Notamacropus eugenii: one gene and its partners. The protein of the gene in region 3 interacts with the protein of the main gene of each other region in a pairwise test. Links are inferred from orthologs where the notes say so. Each region holds a gene or a part of one and is shown on either strand. Other genes may lie near its edges.

Region 1 (7,982 bases), on a different chromosome or scaffold from region 3:
ACCATCCAAGTAGACATTCACTGGCACACACCCCTCCATCTTATTGATGAATATGTCAAGAGACTGCCAAACACCTCTGATGAAATCCAGGCATCCTAATTCCATGGCTTTGTCCGGGCTGGTCAGCTGCCTTCTCTCTCCCTCCCTTCTCTAGCCCAGTGGGTGACCAGGCAGGTGGCAGATGGCTCAGCCATCCTTTGACCCTCTCCTCTCATAATCCCAGATAAGCCCTCCCCTGCTCCCATCTCTCTGCCTACCAAGGTTGAGGGTGGATTAACTGGGGCCTCCCCTTCTCCCTCAGCCTCTCCCATGACTCACTTCCGGATCAGAATTAGCTGTTCCCGTCCTCACCAGGATTCCCTCTCTTGGGAACCAGAGAGATACCCACCTTAACCTCATCCCTCCAGAAATTCTCCACAGAAGAGACTCACCCATTCCAGTAACTTCAGGAAGCCCAGGGGCTCCTTGACCACCCGGAACTGACCCCCAGCCACCAGCTGTAGAGAAACAAGAAAGGATGAGGAGGAAAGATGGAAGAAGAGGGGAAAATATGGAGCTTAAAAAGGAGGGGAAGAAAAAGGGATAGGGAGGGGGATAAGTAGAGGTCCAGTGAAGGGAGAGAAGAGGAAGAAGACAAAGGGGTAAAGAGGGAAGAGAACGTTAAAGGGTAGGTGACGCAAGAAGGCTAGAGAGGGCAAGGCTATGGGGAGAGGGGGTAGCTCTGGTGCAGCCTCTGCAAAGGGCACTGCCCCCATCCAAGGGAACCAAGCTTCTGGGTCAGCCCACACTTCCCAGTCCTCTCACCATCTCTCTAGCCTTGCTCTCACCCTGCCTGCTGTCACTCTATTTTCTCAGCTTAACAGAGGAACACACACACACACACACACACACACACACACACACACACACGTGCGCGCGCGCGAGTACCTTTCAAACCTCTTCTGACTCCAACTCTTCTGACTCGAATTTCTCCATCTATCTCCCTTTTTTCCCCACCTAATCTTGAGGCCATCTGCTCATGTAGGAACCAGCCAAGAATTGTCCATTTCCCTCACAAAAATTCATCTGCCGTACTGCTGGATTCATTCCCAGATTCCTACCTTCACCGTCCTCTCACCCCTCCTATCCTCTAGGTAGCTTCCTCCCTCTCCTTCATTTCCACTTTCATGTCTCCATCCTCATTATCCCATCCCCACCCCCCCTTTCTCCACTTCAAGCCTTCCTTCCTCTGCCCCCATTTCCATCAACATCTGTTTTTACACTTTCCTTCTCTGGAATGCCCTTTGGAATCTCCCCTCCCTCTCTCCCCCAGGCCCCTTGATAGACCTCTGCCTTTCTCTGGGACAGGATCTGCAGAGGTTGTTTTCTGTCTCCATCTGTCTCTCTTTGTATCTCACTCTCTCCCTGTCTCCCCCCTATCCCCCTGCTAGATCCCCCTCCCTTCTCTTTCCCTCCTATTCCCCCAAATTCAGACCTCCTCTTTCACTTAGAGACGTTTCTCTGGAATTTCTTACCCATCAAACCTCCAAGTCAACCTCTTCCTTCTGGATGACCTTCAAGATTTCTGTCTTTCAAATCTCTGTGCCTGTCTGTCTGTCTGTCTGTCTGTCTCTCTCTTTCTCTCTGTCACTCTCTTCTCTGTCTCCCTCTCTCTCCCCCTCCCTCCTTCTCTCCCTCTCTATCTCTCCATCTCCCTCCCTCTCTTCCCTCCTCCCTCTCTCCCCTCCCTCCCTCCCTCTCTCCCTCCCTCTCTCCCCCTTCCCTCCCTTCCCTCTCTCCTCTATTCTCCCCACCCACAAACCTACACATCCATCCTTATCGATTATCTAGTCCCTAATACCTCCACTTCCTAGGCAAGCCTCCCCCTCTTCTCCCTGGTGACCCCCTGAATTTTTCCACCTTCTCTCCCCTGTCATTTACAGGGCTGTTTCCCCTTCCTCTTTTCCTGGTGCCTTTTGGGATTTCTCTATCTGTCCCATCTGTGTCCCTCAACTACAAGTCTCCTCTGCCGTCCCTCCTCCCCTTAGCTAACTGCTTCTAAGCTCTCCTTCCAGGCCTGCCTCAGCTTCCTGCCTCCTCCTGGGGCCCCTAGGCTTTTTTCCTCTCACGTTGCCACCCCCCAAATTGAGCCTGGGGTTCCTTCTGGACCCCTGTGGCCAAAATCTCTCTATTATGCTCCTTCCTGGATGCCCTCAGGAACTGGTTTTCCCCCATTTTCCTCCGCATTCTCTCATTGCCTTCCTTTTCGACCTTCCTTCTCTCCTCTTGGTTGTCCTGGGGGGTTCCTCCCTCCCTAACTGCTCATCTCTGCTAGCCAACCGGGCCTTCCCTGCATCCTCTGAGATCCATCCCCCGATTCTGCACCTTTCTCAGTTCCAGGCCTCTTCTGGCCTTGCACCTCCCCCCCCTTTATCTCTCGCCCCCTGGGCGCTTCCCCTTACAGCCTGACTCCTTCACGTCCTGCCCCTCCCCAGGTCCCCCCCTCTAACTCCTTTATCTCCTACCCCCCAGGTCCCCTGACTGTCTCCTTCACCTCCTGCCCCTCCCCAGGCCCCCCCTTCTAGCTCCTTCATCTCTCCCCCTCCCCAGACCCCCCTTCATTTCTCCCCCTCCCCAGGTCCCCTGACTGTCTCCTTCACGTCCTGCCCCTCCCCAGGCCCCCCCCTTCTAACTCCTTCATCTCCCCCCAGGTCCCCCGACTGTCTCCTTCACCTCCTGCCCCTCCCCAGTCCCCCCCTTCTAGCTCCTTCATCTCCCCCCAGGTCCCCCGACTGTCTCCTTCACCTCCTGCACCCCCCCCCCCACACACACACACTCCCACCGCGCCCCGCCCTTTTGTCCATTTCTTGGCTACCGGCCCTGAGCCCTCCGGGAAGGGTAGGAGCGACCCCTGGGGGCTTAGGAGCTAGCTCGGGGGCGGCTGTCCGTGGTGCTGAAGCGCCCTCGGTCGCCTCGGCATCTCCCCACCTGGTTGAGCACGTCCATGGTAGCCTTTTGGATGCCCAGCAGCCGCCGCAGCCGCAGCCGCAGCGGGGGGAGGAGCAGTAGCAGTTGCAGCGGCAGGGCGGGGGGCGGAGCGTTGCGATCGCTAGAACAGCCTCAGCTGCTCCGGTCCTCGCGCCTCCCCCTTCCGCTGCTCTTCTTGCCACCCCCCACCCCTACTCCCCATGCGCAGGCGCGCGAGAGGAAGGTAGCGACGGGCGGCCCTCTGAAGGAATGGAGATAGCGCAGGTTTCCGAAGGGTTGTCCCGGGGGGCCCTGGGGGCGGTGACTTCAAAGGCTTTCAACTCCTTCCCCCAAGCTTCTTGCTCTAGGAAGCCCGCCGAGATTTCTTTCCCATCCAGCTCAGCTCCGACTTTAACCGGAATCCCCCCCTCATTCCTTCCCTCAGGGGGTCGCCCTTGAAGAGTGGAGGTGACCTGGACTGCCCCACAGACTCAAGGATGAAAGCGGACTCGGTGATCCCAGAGTCCATTGTAAACGGGAATCTGAATTCCCCAGCCCCCTCCAAGTCCACCGCACCCAGCCTTGACTTGGCCTCCAGGGAGGGGCACCCCCGCAGCTTGGAGTGGCCAGGAAAAGCCATCCCCAGCACTTTCTGTTCCCGCACAGAGAGAGCAGCAAGGACACTTCTGCAAACATGGATTTCTTTTCCTTTCCTTTCTTTTCTTTTCTTGCAGTCCGCCTGTCCCATGTATCCCTACTCCCTCCTGTTTCCCTCGTCTACAGTGAGAATCTCCTTTCTCCCCTTCCTCTCCAGGGATTACAACTCCCCCCTCCCCTAAAGAAATGCCTCACTATGTTCTGATCACCTCGTGGCTCTGAGTTTTTCCAGGTTTGACACTTAATTAGAAACAAGTCTTGTCGGGGCTCCTTTGGGAACCTAGCTGCCATAAGTGAGCCTAGGACGATGGGCTGTCATGTCCTTGGTCCTGGAAGCTTGTCCCTTCCCTGGGAGCTCAGGCTGCCATCCCTTTACCGATTCATCCGGAGCCTGAGAAGCCTGGACTAGCAGCCAGGGCTGGATGGCTTTGGGAAGGGACGTGCCACGGTTGAGCTCCCAGCTCGCTGAACAATGGCCCATTCAAATCCATTCTTTCAGAGTCAAGAGTTCAGACAGGGCCCCCTACCCAAAGTAATCACTGCTTAGGAGACCAAGTTTGTTGCCTTCACTGGAAACCTTAGATTTCCTCCGCATGTTCCCTCTATTACGACCTTTGTTTAGACATACCCTGAGGCTGCCTTCTTTCTTGGTTCTTGGTGAACCAAATGTTTCTTCTTCCATTGTAACAAGTCTGCCATGTAGCTCCTTGCGAAACTGTAGCTGTTAAGCACCTAGGCACCCAACGTTCAGGAAGGGATTGTATCAAAGACTTCACTAAGTTCCAAACAAACTTTGAAACAAAATAAAAATAGTGAGAGATTCCAACCATTCATCTCTCAGATGCTGAGCAAACTACAATGTTAAAGGAGAAATAATGGTCTTTTACTTGGTCTGTGTCTCTGCGTGTCTGTGTCTGTCTGTGTGTCTGTCTGTGTGTCTGTGTGTCTGTCCGTGTGTCTGTGTGTCTGTGTCTGTCTGTGTGTCTGTCTGTGTGTCTGTCGTCTGCCGTCTGTGCGTCTGTCTGTGCGTCTGTCTGTGCGTCTGTCTGTGTGTCTGCCTCTCTCTCTCTCACACGCACACGAACACTCCCATTTCAGTCTTTCATTAATTCTGGTTCTCCCATATCTGTGTCTCTATTGTCTAGATACATCAAAATCTACTATGTTTCAGTCTTTCTTTTCTGTCAAATAGGGTTAAGTGACTTACCCAGGGTCACACAGCTAGTAAGTGTCTGAGGCAGGATTTGAAATCAGGTCCCTCCTGACTCCAAGCCTGGAGCTCTGTCCACTGCAGCACCACCTAAATAACGTAAGTCAATAAATATTTACTCAAGTATCTCCTAGGTACCAGACATTGTGCCACTTTCTGGAGATACAATAACCCTAAATGCACTCTGCCCTCAAGGAGCTCACAATCTAATGGGGGATACACTGGATAAAACAAACACGATCTCAGAGAGAAGGCACTAAAAATAGGGGGGGATCAGGAAAGGCTGGGACCTGAAGGAAGCTCAGAAAGCCAAGAAGTCATGCAAAGGGAGAGAATTCCATGTGAAAATGGCCAGAGACAGAGTGTTCTATTGGAGGAAAATCCAGAAGGCTCCCAGAGGACATGGAAGTGAATAAGGTGTGAGAAGACTGGAAAAGTAGTAGGGAACCAGGTCATGAAGGGCTTTGAATGTCAAACAGAGGATTTAATATTTGATCCTAGAGATGATAGGGAACAGCCTCAGCTGCTCCGGTCCGCTGCAGTTTCTTGAGCCAGTGATAGGGTTGGATCTGTGCTTGGGCAGCTGAGTAGAGGATGAACTGAAGGGGGGAGAGGCCAAAGACAGGCAGAGCCTCCAGCAGCTACTGCCATCATCAACGGCTGAAGTGATGAAAACCTGCACCAGGAGGTGGCAGTGCCAGAGGAGAGAAGGGAGTGTATTTGGAAGATGTTCCAAAGACAGAAACAGCAGAACTAGGCAACAGATTGGATATGGGAGGTGACTACAAGGATAAGATGCCATGGAAAGTAATAGGGAAACTGTGAGGGGAGAGTTTCTGGGGAAGAGGTAAGGAATTCCATTTTGAGCATGTTCACATGACATGCAGTTTTCAGCTGGAGATATGGGACTGGATGTCAGCTGAGAGAGCTCAGGGCTGGACAAATAGATCTGACACTCATTTGCATAGAGATGAGAATCGAATTCACAGGAACTGATGAGACCACCAAGTGAAATAGTCTAGAGGGAAAAGAGGGCCCAGGACAGAGCCCACCATTGGATGAAGATGTATCAAAGGGCACTGATATAGCAAAGGAGCACTCAGACAAGGAGGCGAACTGACATACAGCAGAGTCATGAAAACCTCCAGACAAGAGGGTGGTTGCCAGTGTCAAAGGCTTCTGAGAAGTCACAGAGGATGAGGACTGAGAAAAGCCTACTGAGTTTGGCAACCAAGAGATCCTGAGTAACTGGAGAGAGGAGCTTCAGTTGAGTAATGAGGTTAGAAGCTAAACTGTAAAGAGAAAAGAGTAAGAGGAAGGCAAATGGAGGTACCTATTGTGGGCAACTTTCTAAACCCCAAAAGTGTTTATCCACAAAAGGGGGGAGAGGTATGAGATGAAAGTTAGCATGGATGGATGGAGTCTGAACACAGATCGAAGCATACTATTTTCTCTTTTTCATTGTTTTTCCTTTCTTGTTGTTTTCCCTATTTGGTTCTGATTCTTCTTTCCAACATGACTAATGTGGAAATACGTTAAATATCAGATTATACACCTTCTTGGGGAGTGGGGAGAGAAGGGAGGAGGAAAAATTTAGAACTCAAAATCTTGTCAAAGTGAATGTTGAAAACTAAAAATAAATAATAATTTTTGAAAAATGATGAGCAGGCAGATTTCAGAAAAACCTGGCAAGACTTCTATGAACTGAGGCAAAGTGAAGTGAGTAGAACCAGGAAAACATTGTACACAAGAACATATTGTATGACAAGCAATCATGAACGACTTAGCTATTCTCAGCATTACCAAGAATACAGTGTGAAAGGGCTTATGATGAAAGAAAGAACTGATGGAGAGTGAATACAGGTTGAAGCAGACTTTTTAAAACTTTACTTTTCTTGGCAGTTTTTTCCTCTGGTTTTTTTTTTTTGCACATAACAAATATGAAAATAACTTTTGCATGACTGCAATTGGATGACCTCTATCAAATTGCTTGCCTTATTAGTGAGGGGGAAGGGAGTGAGGGAGAGATTTTAGAACTCCACATAAAAAAAGCAAACAAAACCAAATATAAAAAAAATTTTTTTACATGTAATTGAAAAAATATTTTTAAAAGCAACCTTTGGTCTGTCTTGTGTCTCTCTGCCTCCCTCTGTGTCGCCCTCTCCCTTTGTCTATGTAACTTTCAGTGTCTGTATGTATTTTTGGGTCTCCCTTGGTCTCCCACTTTGTTACTCCATCAAAGCCAGGCCCCAGGTGAGTTCTCGCCATCCCCTCTAGACCCAGGAGATAGCAGCTGGAACTGTTGTACCTGAGCTCACCTCCTCCAGGATGACATTTATTCTGGTATAACATCTATCTATGTCTACATACCCACTGGCCCACATTTACACACACTTGGGTCCCCCAGGTTCGTCTGTGAGGCCACAGCTCATGAGCCCCTCCCTTGGTGTCACCCAGAGAATTCAGTTAGATCCAAACCCAAAGCACTTCATGAAATAGCATATTAAGATTTTCAATAGAACATTTTCCCACATTCCAACACAGGGGGTATTCTCACATAGATAGCCAAGAAACCAGTGGGGAGAGTGAATGGGCAGGGATTACACACAAACAAAGGAGCAACTTCTGGAAATGCCATTGACCTATTCTTCTTCTTCTTCTTCTTTTATTAATTTATTTAACTTTTAACATTCATTTTCACAAAATTTTGGGTTCCAAATTTTCTCCCCACTTGTCCCCTACCCCTACCCCAAAACACTGAGCATTCTAATTGCCCCTATCACCAATCTGCTCTCTCTTCTATCATCCCTCCCTTCCCTTGTCCCCATCTCCTCTTTTGTCCTGTAGGGCCAGATAACTTTCTATACCCCTTTACCTATATTTCTTATTTCCTAGTAGCAAGAACAGTACTCGACAGTTGATCCTAAAACTTTGAGTTCCAACTTCTCTTCATCCCTCCCTCCCCACCCATTCGCTTTGGAAGGCAAGCAATTCAATATAGGCCATATCTGTGTAGTTTTGCAAATGTCTTCCATAATAGTCGTGTTGTGTAAGACTAACTATATTTCCCTCCATCCTATCCTGCCCCCCATTGCTTCTATTCTCTCTTTTGATCCTGTCCCTCCCCAAGAGTGTTGACTTCAAATTGCTCCCTCTTCCCATTGCCCTC
Region 2 (7,861 bases), on a different chromosome or scaffold from region 3:
ACATTCCAAAGCATTAACTGCCTTCTGAACTCTCCTACCAGATATCCTATTGGCATCTCAAATTCCTTATGTCCAAAACAGAAATCATTATCTTTCCCTCAAAACCATCCCCTCTTCCAAACTACCCTATTACCATCAAGGGCTCTACCAGTCTTCCCAGACACCCAGACTCACAACTTCAGAGTTATCCAATTCTTCACTCTCACTCAACTCACATATCTAATTGTTGTCAAATCTTAACATTTCTCCCTTCACTACAGCTTTCATATGTGATAGCATGCCCTTTTTTCTTCACTCACACAGCCTCCACTTTAGTACTGATCACAACTCACTTATCTAGGCTTTTTAATTGGTCTCCTTGCCTCAAGTGTCTCCCACTCCAATTCATCCTCCACTCAGATGTCAAAGTGCTTTTCCTAAAACAAAGGTCTGGGCATGCCAACACCTTACTCAGTAAATTCCAGTGGTTCCTCCTCCAGCATCAAATGTAAAGCATTCTATTTCTCATTCAAAGTCCTCTTACACTGTGCTCCCTTTCCAGGTTCTCTTTGGTCTTCCTGCTGTTCCTCACATACAATACTCCCAACTCTGTACCTTTGCACTGACTTACTTTCTCTGGCTTCAAGATTCAGCTCAAGTCTGACTTTCTTTAGGAGGTCTAGTCCACCAGCTGCTAGTGCCTTTCCCTCTCAGATTACTTTCCATTTACTCTGTATATATCTTGCGTTAATTACTTATATGGACAGTGTTTTTTGTCTTTGTTTGTGTCCCTAGTGCTTAGCACAGTGCCTGGCACAAAGCAAGGGCTAAATGAATGCTAATTGTTGACTGACTACATCCATGGGCTATACTACTTTCCATATTAAGTTTAAACTTCTTGCAATGAATGAGATCTGTCCACGCTTCTTAGCATATACTCCTCTGCCCTTTATACTCCAGGAATCTAGATGATACCACAGAAATATAGCTTATTTCACTTCTTAGAACATCATTGCTTAATATTACATTAAAACATTACAATTTAATAACAAAACCTTTTCCTACCACACTCAATGTATATCATTAAAAATTTAAAATAAAAAAGGCATTTCTTTTAAAAACAAAACTTACAGAAGACTCTAAGAATCTTAAGGACAGGGAACATATTATTCATCTATACATCCTTAGCAGCAATTAACTTTGGGTCCTGAGCCCCAGGCATAGGTTCTCAGGAGGTAACTGTTGAATGAAAAATGTCTTTTGAAAAATAGTGATTCTGAATTTAAATTCTATTTAATTCATATTTTTTGCTTAATCATTTTTACCTGCTGTGGTATCCATTAAGGTAAATGAATGCCTGAATTTTGCTGCAATTGTTACCCATCAATTTTATTTTAGAAAACCATACCCTGGGGAGATATGCAACAATTAAAAAAATAGAAACCAAGAAATCCTTTCCCTACAACAGTCACCACCAAATTATAAAAATTTCCACTGAAATAAAAACAGATGTCAAACTAAAAACAAGCAACCTAAACCCAGTGATACTGTAAACAATTCAAAGTTCATATCTGTCAAAATGCAAAACATTTTTTTATTCTGAAATCCCTGAAATTATTTTATCCCAAGCCTTAATGATGCATATTTCTTATCACATTCCTTTTACCAGGCCACTGAAATACCACTGAAGGAGCTTTTTCTGAAACAGACTTGATTAGGTGTGTCAGTATTACAACTTGACCTACCTGATTTGCCAACTGCCATCTCCTCCTACTCCTGATTAGGTAACACCAGACACTCACATTGACAACAGATGTAAGGTAGGCCACTGAGGACTTGAGTAGGGGGGGAATAGCACAATGAAGGTGAAATTCAAGGTGATTATTCAACAGCATCCTGGATGCTGGCCCTAGAATCTGATTCCGTAAGGTGAGTACCTACTAGACAGACACACCTACACTAGATCCCTCAAATATCAGTGAGAGAAGAAAGGGGAGTGTTGAGGAAGGCAGAAAATTCCTGTGTGGGAGATGTCTGGGAAAGAAGCATGAAAATGGATTGAAAAAGTGGAGGAACAGGTGAGGGCAATGAGGAGTCTGGAAGTGCAGCAATTAAAGTTGGAGAAGTTTACATGGAAGGAGGTTTGGAAGAGTAAGGATACTAAGGTTTGTAAGACTGTGTAAGGAGAGCTGAAAGAGATTCAAGGCTGGACAGAACTAAGGAAGGGAAGGAAATTAAAAATACTAAGAAATAGGCAAGAGAGGTCTATGACAAACGCAAAATGTAGGAGAAAGCTTTGAGAAGAAGACTGAAGAAGATGAAGACATTATGGGGTGGGTGACCTGAGAGAATTGGGGGCAGGACAAAGGGTGATGAAAAGGAGGGTAGGCAGCACTGAATATGGTTCCTCAGTTAATAAATATTTGCTGAATGAAGATGAAGGAAATGACTAAAGGGCCCCTCCCAGAGATACGGGGTGGGGTGGGGGAGAAGCGAAGACTCCGGAAAGGGGCGGCGGTAAAGTTGCTGAGAGATTGCACGGAGATCCCCACGGAGGGTACGAGGTAGGAAAAGAGTTGTTACTGTGAGTTTGTCCTTGCTCCGGAAGAAGACCATGACATCAAGATGACGACATGACTTGCAGCTGACTCTTGATTTGAGTGAGGGAGGGCTGTGCAAGGTAGGAAAAGAAGGGAAACAACCAAAGAGGGTCCTAGAAAATGTTCCCGGTAGTTTCTTAAAACAAAGAAGCAGCATGAAAAAAAAAGTCCTCTAATTCCAAAAACAGCGTTCTCTTCTATTCTGAAAGTTTTTTGGGGGAGGGGGAAGGCGGGCAGTCGGACTAGAGAAGAGAAGTAAGAGCTAGAAGAAATGGGATGACACGACACGGGGAGATGACCAAGGGATGACTGGTGGATCCCCATCCGATACGGAGGGGTGGGTTTCGGGGGGTAACCCAATAGGAGAGACCAGGGGAGGCTGGGGGTGGGTCTAGAAGGAAATGGGGGGGTCGACCAAAGAAAAGGTGGGGGGCACCGAAGGGCACATACGAGGGGACTGGGGATACCATGGACACGTACATATGGGGGGATGGACGGCATACGTGCCAGGAAGCCACAGGGATAACAGGACAGAGAGAACTAAGGTGAGGGGCGGGTACCCCCGAGGGCGGAGAGGACTCAAGGGCCCAGGGGGCTGGGGGCGGAGCCCGGAGGGGGTAGGCTGGCCCAGAGGCGGGGCCGGGCGGCCTGTCGGTCCGTCAGTCGGTCGGTCGGTCAGTCAGTCAGCGGCTCCGTCACTGCTCTCCTCCCGCCTCGGTTACCTTGGCTGGCGGGATCCATGTCCGGGCCGTATGCTGGGCAAGTACCGAGGCCAAGCCTGGTGTCCGTCGCTTCCACTCGGCGCCCAGAAGACTCGGAGCCGCTGCAGCCACCACCACTGCACGTAATCCCAGCCGCCGCCACTCACTTCCCCTTGGGAGCCCCACCCCCACCCGCTGCTCCCTGGCCCCGCCTTCCCCCGGAATCAGCCAATGAGAGCCTCCTCCGGTCACGCCTGCACTCGAACTCCGTCCTTCTGATAGGCGAGTGTTGAGTCACGTGCCTGAGGGCAAGGCGGGTGGAGTTTGGCGGAGTCCGGCCCAGTTCGGATTCACCATTGAGATTAGCGTGCTCCCGGCTAGAAAGGCAGGAAGGAGTTGAGGCGAGAGGAGCGTGGGCTCTCGGAGGACTCCGTAGTGCTGGATTGCGTCGTTTTCCGTGCTCTGGCTGCCGGAGCCTAAACCTGAGCGCCCACCTCACTCTCGCGTTTTGCCTTGTGTCTACACCGTCCAACTTTAACTCTTCCTCTTCCAGGCCCCGCCAGTCTGAGTACTTGCCCCTAGTCCCAGGGCGAAGCTCCCTCTCCCGGCCCTCGCCGCCATCAGTCCCAAGTTACCAGCTTGGGGCCGCACCTGCAAGCCCCCCACTTCTTTCCTTAGGTGCCACTTGCCCTCAGTCTTGGCGATCGTTCAGGTCTATGGGAACGTGGGGCTCTACTGCTAAGAAATGGAAGGTATTTTTAATTCAGTCCCATAAACAGCCTTCGCTCCTTGAGGACAGGGGCTGTTTTTCTTCAGTGTCTGCATCACAGTCTCTTGCGCAGAGGTGCTAAATAAAAGCTTTTTGGATTTAATTTGAATTAAGTATAATTTTGTGCCAGCATCTTGCTCCATGGAGTGGTGGGTAGAGAGCTGTGGCCTCAGAGGCGAGATCTGGTTTTAAGTCTGGCCTCTGACCGGAGATACTTGCTGTGTGACCTTGAGCAAGTCATTTAACCCCTCAGAGCCCCGGGCATCTCTTAGAATCCATTTTGTTGAGCAAATGTAGATCTGCTTCACCAGAAGCAGTTTACCCTGCAGGCTTTCCCTATACTAGTGAAATCTTACCGTGGGTTAAAAGTTTAAAAATGGTACCACGACCGCACTGGACTTCTGGGGTTGGGTTTTTGCTTTGTGACCCAGGAGAAGTTTTGTAACCTCTTAGTTTCCTCTTCTCAAATACGGGCAATACTATTTGTCTTAACCCTACTTTACAGGGTTGTTTTGAAAAAAAGTATAGTAGTTCATTTACATGGCAAGTGTAACTTCTCCACAGGCAAAATTAATGCACCTACCTAGGTTAAGAAGGAAAGAAGTCAGATGGGAAAACACTTTGTATCCAGTTATCATCCTAAAGGTCTAGACTGGAAACAGCACTAGTTGGATGATGTTGAGGTGGATCACTGTTTCCATTTTAGAAAGTAATTTGGAATTATGCAATTAAAATGTCTGTACCTTTTGAGATTCCATTGCTAGGTGTATACCCCAAGGAAGCATTGACAAGGAGAAAATCCCCTTGTACACCAAAATTTATAGTGGTACTTTTTGTGATAGCAAAGAATTAGAAACAAAGTGGATGCTCATCAGTTGACGGACGTCTACATAAATTATGGTACATTATTATAATGGAACATTACTGTGCTGTAAGAAATGATGAATATGATGAAGCCAGAGAAGAATGGAAAGATCTACATGAATTGATGCAGACTGTAGTAAGCAGAGTCAAGAAAATATACGTAATTTCTACAAAAATGAAAACAGAAAGAACAATCACCAAAAGAAGTTAATGTTGCAAAGTTACAAAGAATTACATGGTTAAAAGGCATTCCGATCCCACTCCATGGTGGGATCACTCCATGATTGTGGTACATAGCACTTATTTTCAGGCTTTTTCAGTATGTTGATCAGTTCTGCTTATTTTTTCTTCTATTTTTTCCTTTAAAAATCTGTCTTGTTATATAGAATGACTTTCTGAGAGAGGAGAAGGGAATGAATGAGGGGGAAAATCTTGGTAATGTAAAAAAAAAAAGCCAGTAAAAACTAATTTAAAAAGAAAAAGTATAGTGATGCCAGTAAGAAAAATGGGACAAGACAAGATGGGCATGTTTAGGGTAGTATGGTTGTTACAACAGTTTGGGTTTTTTTTTCCCCTTTATTTTTTCAATGGAGGTAGGTGAGAAAAAGAAGGCAAATTCTCATTAATTGAAAAAAATGATTTAAATTGACTATAATTCACTTTTAAAAAGATAAATAGAGCTGTAAGGAGGAGAAGATTTTGTAAAGATGATTTATTTGGATATATTAAATTTAAGATGCTGGCAGGATATCTAGGTGGAGCTGTTTATCAGGCGAATGGAAATAAATGGAGCTCAGAGGAGATGTCAGAAGAGAGAGATCAGTATTGGAGTTATAGATTTAGGAGAGATCTGCATAGAACTATTAACTGAAGCCATTGTATTAGATGAAATCACCAAGGGAGTTAATATTGGAAGATTAAAGAAAAGGGCAGGGGAAAAATAAAATACCAAATAAGTAATTTTTTAAAAGAAAAGGGCAAAAAAAGAACTTTGGGGGATACTATAAATAAGATCTGAAAGGGAAAAAAAAAATGAGCCAGGAAATTTCTACTTTACCTCTGCCTCCTGGAATCTCTAGTTCCATTTAAGGTTCTACTCAGGCGCTACCTCCTAAAAGTCTTTTCTGATGACCCCAGTTTTTAGTGTTCTCTCCCCAAAATTACCTTTTTTTTTTGTCTGGACCTGCAGTTTCATCAGCATAGGAAGCTTCCCTGTGAGAAAACTTAGTCTGTCAATGAAGATCTGGGACTATTCTGCAATTTATACTCTTAGAATTTCTTTGAAGCACTAAGAGGTTAAGTAACTTGTCTAGTATATATAAAAGAGACTTGAACCCAGACCTTCCTGGCTCCAAGGCTAGGTCTCTATCCAAATTACCAGAAGGTTTTCTAAATAATTTGTATTTATTTTGTATAAATTTTGCATTTACTTAATCAATCAACAAGTATTTATTAAGTGCCTACTATGTTCTTGGCATCATGCTATGTGCTGGGGGTACAATTATAATGAATGGAACAGTCTCTCCTTGAAAAGATCTTATATCTTAATAATAGAGGCAACAGTGTACACATATGCACTCATACATATACATATGTGTCTATACAGATAAAATACAAAGTAGTCTGAGAAGGAGGGCATTAGCAAATGAAGAGATCAGAAATTACTTTATGTAGAAGGTGATGCATAAGCTACATCTTGAAGGAAGAAACATTTTTGAAGTAGACAGGAAGAGGAATTGCACTCTAGACAAGGAGAATAGCCAGTATAAAGACATAAGATGAGAAATGGAGTATCATATGTGAAGAACCAAGAGAAAGCCAGAATATATTTGAATATAAGGATTATATCGAACCAGAGAGGAAGTATAATGAGGCTGGAGAGTTTGGTTGGGACAGTTTTCAAAGGAAGAAATGTAAATAATCATCAGTCATATAAAAATGTTCCAAATTGCAATTAACAGAAATACAAATTCAAACAACTCTGTAAGTATCACCTCATATCTGTCAAATTGGTCAAGATGATAACAGAAAGAAGTAGCTATAAGTAAAATCTAAATAAGTTCCCTCAACCAATTTGAGATTATTGAAACATACCCGCTTATTTAGAGGCATCTAAGCTATACTTTTCTGTGAAATCTGAGCATGTCCACTGGTGTGGTACTAGTTGGGTTCCACCTCCTAGATTCCCTGTCTTTCTTCAGGTCCCAGCTAATATCCTGTCATTTACCGGAAGCCTTTCCTGATTCCCCTTAATTTTCTTACCTTCCCTCTGTTGATTATTTTCCATTTATCATGCATAAATTTGGCAAACCACTATAGAATACGTAGTTTATATGTAGTTGTTCCAATCTTCTCTCCCTTATTAAACTATAAGCTCCTGGAGAGCAAGGACTGTCTTTTGCCTTTGTATCCTCTATGCTTAGCACATAGTAGGTGCTTAATAAATGTTTACTGACTCACAGTTTATGACTGACTGGTGCTTTCTCCTGATGATTGACTGACTTCAGATCTGATTTCTTTTCTTTTGGTCTATAGAATTAGTGTCTAATGTCTTTACTTATCATTTTCCCCCTGTTGCCTTCTTCCAGAGTACAGCAAAGGTGGAAAGAGATTTCTCTCTCCTCTCACACGCAGAAGCAGATGATGTCAATGCACAGAATCTGAAAGGAGAGATCCCAGAGAATGAGATGTCCCAGCTTAACAGATGGCAACAACTCTGACACTGAAACTTTCCCACTGAAGCAAAAGGCAAAAGCAGAAATGTGTGTGCCCACTCAGTGGAGAGAGGAGAGTCCCATATCTGGGAGCTGCCTGAGGGAGAATCTCAATTTTGAGAGTTCTTGATTTGAGTTTTGATGCTAGACATTCTCCAGAGAGACAATTTCTTGAAATATTGTACTCCTTGGAAAAAAGAAAAGAATTAATTTAGTTCCTGAGCAGAGTTACTT
Region 3 (8,293 bases):
TTTGGCCTAGTGTGGTCAGAAACAACTTTATGGAAGAGATGGGACTTTTAGCTAGGACTTAAAAGGTCTGCAATTCAGAGGAAATCAAAATAACCATGTACCAGATAGGGGAAGAAATAAGGAATCTAAGGTTCTTACAAATTCTGGTTTGTTGTTTATTCTTACTAAAAGACATTATTTGATTTTTTTTTTACTAGATTTTTTTATTTTACTAGAAAATCCTTAATATTTAAGTAGATGAAAATTTGTTTTCCTTACTACTATTAATCTGGTGGGGTACAGTTCTCAAGCTCTAACTGCAACTCATTAGACTTTGTACATTGTCATAGGCTAGATGACTTTTAAGGTTCAATCTAATGCTAAATCTATGATCCTAAGACTGCTGTGATTACCGATGTCAATAAAGTGTAGAATGAGATCTCAGTTACTGACTAAATGCTGAAACTGAAATAAGCTTCACAAAGCAGTGTGCTTGTTTTGTCTAAACAATCAGGCACAGTATTTTCAATCTCACATGAAGTATGGTCCCAAGATCTCTTAACTCTGAAAGGTGGTAAATTTTATTCTTAAGGTAATGGATCCAGCAAAAGTGAAAAAAAAAAATTTAACTTGTTTACGTTGATTTAGCATAATACTTCAAAAATTATTCTTGAAAAGTAAGTCAAAGTTATTGTTACAGAATGGTATTAGTGAAAGGTAAGATAGACTTGAGTATAAATAAAGCTCACAAAAGCTCTCTTCCCTACTTTCTTTAATCACCACTTCTTTAAAAGCATACTATCAACACTTCTAGACTTTACCGTCTGTCATCTGAAGTTAGGATAGTAAATTCCAGTTGTGTCTCCTTAGGCTACCACTCTATACAAACATATCAGACCCAGTCACTCCAACTGGAACTGAGTATGTGGAGGAAGACATTAAATATAGACAGAGATTAAGACTGCTTTTGGCACTTAGAAATTGGGCCAGTGTACAAATTGACCTGGTAGGCACCTGGAATTCTTATTTATTGAAGAGAACATCCCAATAGTCAAGCCTTTTTAATACACAAAATACAGCCTGAAATTCTCCCTGATTCTTGCGCCAGTGGAAAAGTATTCCTTCTCTTCTTAAATTTTCTTGCACGATAAGGCCATGTATTCTTACAAGGAAAAGGGTCAAGTTCAACTTTTGCTACTTACTTCCTGTATGTCTTTGGGTAAGTCATTTAATCTCTGCTGGGCCTTCACTTTCTGATCTGTAAAATAAGGAGGTAGGCCCAAGACACCCTACTGTGCATTCCAGCCCAACTCTTTGATCCTAAAATATGGTTCCATACCAGACCTTATCTATAATCATTATTTATGTACCTGTCACATCTTTCAAACCAGTAGAATAAAAAGTTCCTTGAGGACAAAACCTTTTTTATCCTTTATATCTTCAATAATTACCACATAATAAATGCTTAGTTAACATTTGCTGATCTGAATAATGAATAAATTTGACTTGTCACTGACCTATTTATCAGGTAAACTTTATAGAAACAATGAGTAAAATTCCAACTGAAATTAGTTGGATCAGAAGAAGTCTCCTGCTTTTAACAGAAATAGTGTTATTGGCAACATTTTAGTGGCCTAATGTAAATTTCTCAGTGAAACTATAAGATTCAAATCCCAGAAAGACTAATTAAATAATACAAATCAGACAACATAAACGCATGAATAATCCTATTGGCACCTTGTTTTAGGAATGTAAGAATACACCTTGGAAGAACTAGACTGTATTTATCAAGTATCCACCACCCTAAAGAAGGAAAATGTTTTTATAGGTATTAAAGGAGATCAAAACATAACCAATGACACAAGTTCATTCATTTATAAAATGGACAGCACTAAGTAGAATTAGAAATGATCACCATAAATTTAAATTTACTCCAAGTTCTCAATCACTTCTGGTTGTAAAGATGAACACAGAAATTTACTCAACCAAAAAAGAGTCAATTTCAAATTATGACCTTTTGAACTGTGGCTAATTTTTTAAAAGAAGATGTTTTCACTAAAACTCAGCGTTACGGTTTAAGGGTATCGTCAAGAGTCACACATAAATTTGTTATCTTAGCGATAAAAATTCTTTTTAAGGTATTTAAGGGAGCAATTGCGACAGTAGTCCTGGTAGGCTTTGGAATCTCGAGTGTACCTCTTGTTTTTTAAGTGCACCTTTCTTAAACCGTGGTAGATCTTTAAAACGTGGGTGTGAGATGGTTTCCAAGAACGTTTAGTTCTACCCTCCTTCAAGGCCGAGGCTCTCCAGGTGAATCCCGACTGCCGCTTACACAGCAGGGGGCCCTGGGCCGGCTTCCCCCGGGCAAAAGGAGGGCGTTGGTCCGCTCGCCCCCGCCAGCTACACCTCTATCCCCCAGATAAAGCAGGGAGGCGACTCCCCTGGCCGGCCACACCTCTCCGGCTGGCTACCCCACCTAGCCTACTCCCTGCTTAACCAACGGTCCCAGAGGAGAACCCAGGACCCAGAGCAGGCTCCCAACCTGCGGGCAGTTCGGTGGAGGTCCTGGAGCCCCTCGGGAAGAACGTTTGTTAAGAGGCAGAAAAATAAACGCGGTGTAACAAAGGAAACCAGCTATCCTGAAGCGGCCCGAAAACGCATCCTTTCCAAAGTTCGAGGACCTCCAGTTAGGACTGGGGCCAAAGGGAAGGCCGGCGAGGGAGCGCCGGAGCGAAGGGGCGCCGGGCCGAGGGGGCGCCGGGCCGAGGGGGCGCCGGAGCGAAGGGGCGCCGGGCCGAGGGGGCGCCGGGCCGAGCCCAGCACGGCCGCGGACCTGACGCGCCTCTGGCTCCGTCCCGGGGGAGTTCCCGGGGGAGGCTGGGGCGGGCCGCGGAGCCAGCCCCGGGGCGCCCCGAGCTCGGCTCCCGGGGAAGTGACCGGCTGGGGACGCCGCGGGCCGGGCCCGGGGTCCTCACCCCGTGGGGCTCCGGACCCAGGGCGCGGCTGGAGCTGCGCGTTTCGGGCGCCTCCCAGTGCCCTGGGGCCCGGTGGGGGCCGGGGGAGGTCAGGAGGTCAGGTCCCGGCTCGGGCCTCGCTCTTCCCGGGTCTCGCGGCCCGCGGGGAGAGGAAGAGGGCGAGGCCACGGTTCCTTCCGTTACCGACCCGCCCCCGGCCTGGCTCGGCCCGGCTGTCAGCGGCGGGAGGCGGGGCCTCGGGGAACGGGCCGCGGGCCTCGGCCTCCCTCCCGCCCGCCCCGGCCCGGCCCGCGCGCTACCTGCACCGCGCGGCTGAGAAAGGTGCCCGCGTCCGCCGCCAGCTTCTTCACGCTGAAGTCCATGATGCTTCCGCCGGGCCGGGGTCGGGGCCGGGACCGGGGCCCGCAGCCGGAGCCGGAGCCGGAGCCGCAGCCGGAGCCGGGCGGAGCCGCCGCTGCCGCCTCACAGGGAGCAGGGAGAGGAGCCGGGAGACGGGGGCGGGGCCCGGCCCGGGAGAAGAGAGGACAGCAGCCAGGGGAGGGGAGGGTGGGGGAGAGGGGGAGGGCGGGGCCTAGCTTGGGGAGGCGGGGAGGGGCGAGAGAGAAGGCGGAAGGAGCGGCCGGGGGCGGGGTCTAGCGCGCTAAGGAGGAGAAAACGAAGGTAAAGGAGGGATGACGGAAGAGAGGGATGTGAGCGGGGAGAGAGGAGAAGAGGAGGGGAGGAGAGGAGGGGGCGGGGCTTAGCTCGCCTAGGGGATGAAAAGGAGGGAAGGGGAGGGGAGCGAAAGGCGAGGGAGGAGCTTCGAACAGGGGTGGGGCCTAGCTTGGGGAGGTGGGGAAGGGAGAGGAGGGGAAGTGAGGAAAGAGGGAGGGACAGACTGAAGAGAGACTGGGAGGGGGCGGGGCGGAAGGAGAGGGTGGGTCCTAGCTCTCTAAGGGAGAGAGAAGGGGAGGGGAAAGAGAGGATAAGGACTGGGAGAGGAGGAGGGGCGATCAGGGAAGGAGCGGGTCTGGCCTCTCCTGGGAGAGGGGAGAGGAGGAGCTAAGATTGGGGGCGGGGCCTAACCTGGGATGGGGAGAAGGCGAGGAAGGGGCGGTGCTTGAGGGGGCGGGGAAGCAGAGGAGGGACGTGGCTCTGGTTAGAGAGGGCTGGGGGTGAACGATGCCCGCACGCCCAGCTCCCCCGGGGGTGGGAGGCCACGGCTTGGGGGAGGGCGCGGTGGGGTGGCGTGAGTCCCACCAAGGGGGCGCCACGAGACACACTCCCATAGATGACTGACCAGAGAGACGCGAGGCCAGCTAGGCCAGGAGCCCCACGGGGAGTGACACGGAGACACGTGGAGTGGGGGGGCTCCGGGGAAATGATGAGCCAATGGCAAAGGGAAAGGGCCGAGAGACGGGGTCGAGGAGAACAACTGGAGAGTGATGGCAGCGGGGCACGCGGTGCCCGCGAGGGCCTGGGCTAATGTGCGTGAGAGGAGGCGTGGGTGAAGAAGGTGTGGGAGGCAAGGGGGGGTTCCAGTTGTTGGGACTTGTGTCTGAATGTGGTCGGAGCGAGGGAAGAGCGGCCAAAAACGGCCAAGGGTTTGAACCTGGGTCCTTGGAAGGATGGCGGTGCCCAACAGAAATGGGGGAGTTCTGTTATGGACATGTGGAACTTGAGATGCCAGCGGGGCATCGAGAGACCAGCAGGCAGTTGGAGATGCAGGACTGGTGGTTTGGAGACAAACAGAGCGTGGCCATCTGCATGGAAATACGATAGTTGGACCCAATTATAATTGAAGAGTGCCCAAGTCAGAATGCGTACAAAGGGAAAGGAAGAGTCCCCAGGAACAAGCGGCCATCCAGCCTTTGTTTGAAGACTTCCAGAGAAGGAGAACAGATTGCCTCCCTAGGGAGCACATTCTGCTTTGGATCATGTGTAATAGTTATTAAAATTTTCTGTCAATTTATCCTACATCAGCCCTTGATGACTTCAGTCCATTCCATCCAGTTCTGCCATCCAGGGCACAAGGAGTCTAAGTATTTAAAGACAGGACTGTCGTGTGCCCCTCCAGTCTTCTCTGCTCCAGGCTAATCACTTCCAGTTCTTTTCATTGATCCTTATGTGGCATGAACTTGGGCCTTTCACTTTCCCCATCTCCCTGTCTCCAGAGGTTCTCCAGCTTATCATTGTACTTAAAATGTGGCATCCCTAACTGACCCAGAGATAGTCTGATCAGGGCAAAGAATAGCCTCTCAATGCATCCTAAAACCCTAAACTTCACCCTCCAGAACTTGCTGGTTATTTGACTAGGAGCAAATCATTGAACTGCAGTTTCCTTACCCTTAAAATTGGTATTCAAAGTAACCATCCCAGGAGGTTATTGTGAGGCTCAAATGGCATTATGTATGAAAAGGAGTTCACGAAGCTTAAAGTCTTGTCAAGATGGCAGCTATTTCTTCCTTTTTTTAAACTCCAATCTCAGAGATGGCTTGTACTACCTGGCCAGGCTTCCCTTACCTTCTACTTGTTTGTTTGTCTGTTTGCTTTGGAGACCAAATGGAATACTTTACATTTTATCCTATTGCATTTCTTTGTAGTAGTTTTGACTGAATGTTCTATCTTGTAATACATGCTGGTAACTGAGCCCTGTGGATAATGGCTGACTGTTTAAGCTATGTTGAGACACACAGGCACAGAAGCACATCAGGATAAGTGAAGGTCAGGAGCCTTGTGATACAGAGAAAGATGCAAGAATGAGCTTCAAGTAGTTGGAAACAGGCATGGACAGTCAGGTAGCTGGATTTATAAAGCACATTTTTAATAAGTAGGAGATTTGGGGGAAATTTCTGCTCATATCACATATTTGCCACATACAGTCAGGAGATAAGACTATTACACTTTAGGGAGAATGATAAAAGTTAAGAGAACTAAAATTGGAAGAGATCTTAGAGACTGTCAAATTCAAATTCCATCTTTGTACCCATGAAGAAATTCAGACCCAGGGAGTTTAAGCGACAGTGAAAATTCAGACTCAGTTATCTCTAATTCAAGACACTCTTTCCATTGGTCTGCTGCCCTCTGGACCATGGACTGAGGGTTAGTATCTAGAAAAGGTTTCTCCCCTGATGACTTCCATGCTTGTCCTGTGCCTTCAAATTACAAACAAAGGTACACAAAGAAATATGAGGGCCAGGGTCAACTACAGGTGTTGAGAGATATTAGATTAGATCAGTCACATGCAGCCTTTAATGGAATAAAAGGTCATTCTTCGAAACAGGTTCAAGTTGCACCCAGCTAAGGTGGAAAAGGAGCAAGAACTGCCAGTTCCTCCTTATTCTTCCTCAGCATTCCAAACACTTTAGCAAGTGCCCACAAGAAAACACAGTCTTATACCTGGCTTATACCCACAAGAAAACACAGTCTTATACCATGCCTCCTCTGGGCTTCATCTCTCTAGGCTCCCCAGAAGCATGGATTTGAGGAGGGTAACTGTAGATACCATTGCTTCTAGCCAAGTAGCTCAGCTACTCCATAAAAACAAGAGAAACGTCCCACAACCTCCCTCTTCTCTCCATGTTCTTTCTCCTTTTTCAGGTGCCCTGCTGCATCTCTCCTTCCCCCCCCCCCCCAATTCTCAAATTGCACAATACTTCTTTGCCTCAGGAGATGAATAAAAACCTTAAAATACCTGAATTCTCTACAGATCCATACCATTCTTCCTCCCTCTAAAGTAGATGTTACATTATATAACACATTAGTATATGTCCCTTTGTAAAAAATGAGTTGACATCATCAAGTTAATATTTGGGAACACATCAATGTAGTGATAGTAATATAACATTCCCTCCCCCCAAAAAAACCTGGCAGAGTTACCCCCTAGAATCTTGAGAGGAGTAGTAGTCAGCTGCCCTCTGGGCACACAGCCTGCCAATGAGAGTGAGACTTGGGAGTAAGCCCAAAGGAGATGCTTTAACAGTACAAATTACACTAGAAGGACAAATATTTGTGTGCAGGACAAAGAGACCCATCTCACTCTCCTGTCACATTTCCCTTATAGCAACCAGTTTTATCACTGAAGAGTAATTTGGTTTTCCCTACCCACTATACAATCCTTAGAGTATTTTCCTGCTTACAGAATCACATTTTCTCTCCCCTCCACGCAACTACAAATGATGAAAAAATCCTGTTATATCTCATTGCATTAGTGAGATACAGGGTAACTACTGGTAGGTCATTTAGTTGATTGTGGCAACTAACTAAATTTTTTTTATTAATTTTATTTTGATGTAACAGATACTTCCTAAAAAACTCCCAAATGAACCCTCCCACAAAATACACTCCCTGAGGAGTACTTTTCACTTTTGTAGGTTACTGATTATTAACGAAAGGAAGGATCTGTGCTTTAGTATTAACAGCTTGGTACCTATGCTATATGTTGTATTTGACCTTTCTGTTGCCTTTTAGTTTTGCCTTTATATTGTGTAATCATTGTGTGTATTGCTCTACAGGAGTGAATAATCTAGGATAGAACCTTGGGGAACACCACAGTTTAGAGGTGTAGTATGAATGGTGACCCTGCAAAGGATATGGACAAGGAGTTGACAGGTAGGGGAGAACCAGAAGACAGTCATGTCAAAAAATTTCAGAGTACACAGGAGAAGAGGATGGTCACTATTGCCAAGGTTGAATGGGATGAGGACTAAGGAAAGACTATCAGATTTTGCAGTTAAGAGATTATTGGTAATTTTGCAGAGAGCTATTTCAGTTGAGTGATGAGGTCAGATGCCAGATTGTAAAGGGTTGAAGAGTGAGAAGAAAGAAAAAGGAAGCAACAAGTACAGGAAGCTTTTTATAAGAGTTTGGCTGAAAAAGAGAGGAGAGCTGTTGAATGACAGCTTGAGGTAATGTCTAATGAAGGATTTTTTGTTTTGTTTTGAGAATGGGGGAGACTTGGCCATCCTTAAAGGTTATAGGGAAGAAACTGTAGCTAGAGAGAAGTTGGAGATTTGAGAGAGGGAGTTCATTGAGGGAACAGTGTGTTGGGGACAGGAAAAGACAGGATCAATACATGTACAGGTCTTGGCCTAGGTAAGAAGAAAGGCCACATTATTGTTAGAGAAGGTGGTTAAAGAAGAGAGAGTGGGAGATGATGTCAAGAGGCTTTGAAATGAAGAGAAGGGGTAAAGGAGGAACACATGGTAAATAGCCTCAGGAACGTTAGAGGCAGGTTCTTCAGCTGAGAGGGAAGAAAACTTCTGAGTAGAGTGACATTATATCAATTGTTGGTTGTGTTTGTCCTTTTTTGAAAAAGACCATACCATCAGAGAAATAATGACATGACTTGCACTTGACTT

The links.
Region 1: the proteins of SH3GLB1 (region 3) and SYP interact in binary tests that used the Homo sapiens proteins (3 or more experiments, as listed by UniProt). The link is inferred for Notamacropus eugenii from reciprocal best matches to the Homo sapiens genes SH3GLB1 and SYP.
Region 2: the proteins of SH3GLB1 (region 3) and TPD52L2 interact in binary tests that used the Homo sapiens proteins (3 or more experiments, as listed by UniProt). The two-hybrid records come from large-scale screens. The link is inferred for Notamacropus eugenii from reciprocal best matches to the Homo sapiens genes SH3GLB1 and TPD52L2.

Annotation. Positions count from the first base shown.
Region 1 is NC_092879.1:102,206,302-102,214,283, forward strand, and holds the start of SYP (synaptophysin), read right to left. Parts: upstream 3,073-7,982; 5' UTR 2,986-3,072; coding exon 2,968-2,985; intron 498-2,967; coding exon 432-497; intron 1-431.
Region 2 is NC_092872.1:496,481,093-496,488,953, forward strand, and holds the start of TPD52L2 (tumor protein D54), read right to left. Parts: upstream 3,468-7,861; 5' UTR 3,321-3,467; coding exon 3,302-3,320; intron 1-3,301.
Region 3 is NC_092873.1:496,315,841-496,324,133, reverse strand, and holds the start of SH3GLB1 (endophilin-B1), read right to left. Parts: upstream 3,475-8,293; 5' UTR 3,317-3,474; coding exon 3,254-3,316; intron 3,107-3,253; exon of another isoform or gene 2,955-3,106; intron 2,695-2,954; exon of another isoform or gene 2,522-2,694; intron 2,473-2,521; exon of another isoform or gene 2,176-2,472; intron 1-2,175. UniProt on the Homo sapiens protein: May be required for normal outer mitochondrial membrane dynamics. Required for coatomer-mediated retrograde transport in certain cells. May recruit other proteins to membranes with high curvature. May promote membrane fusion.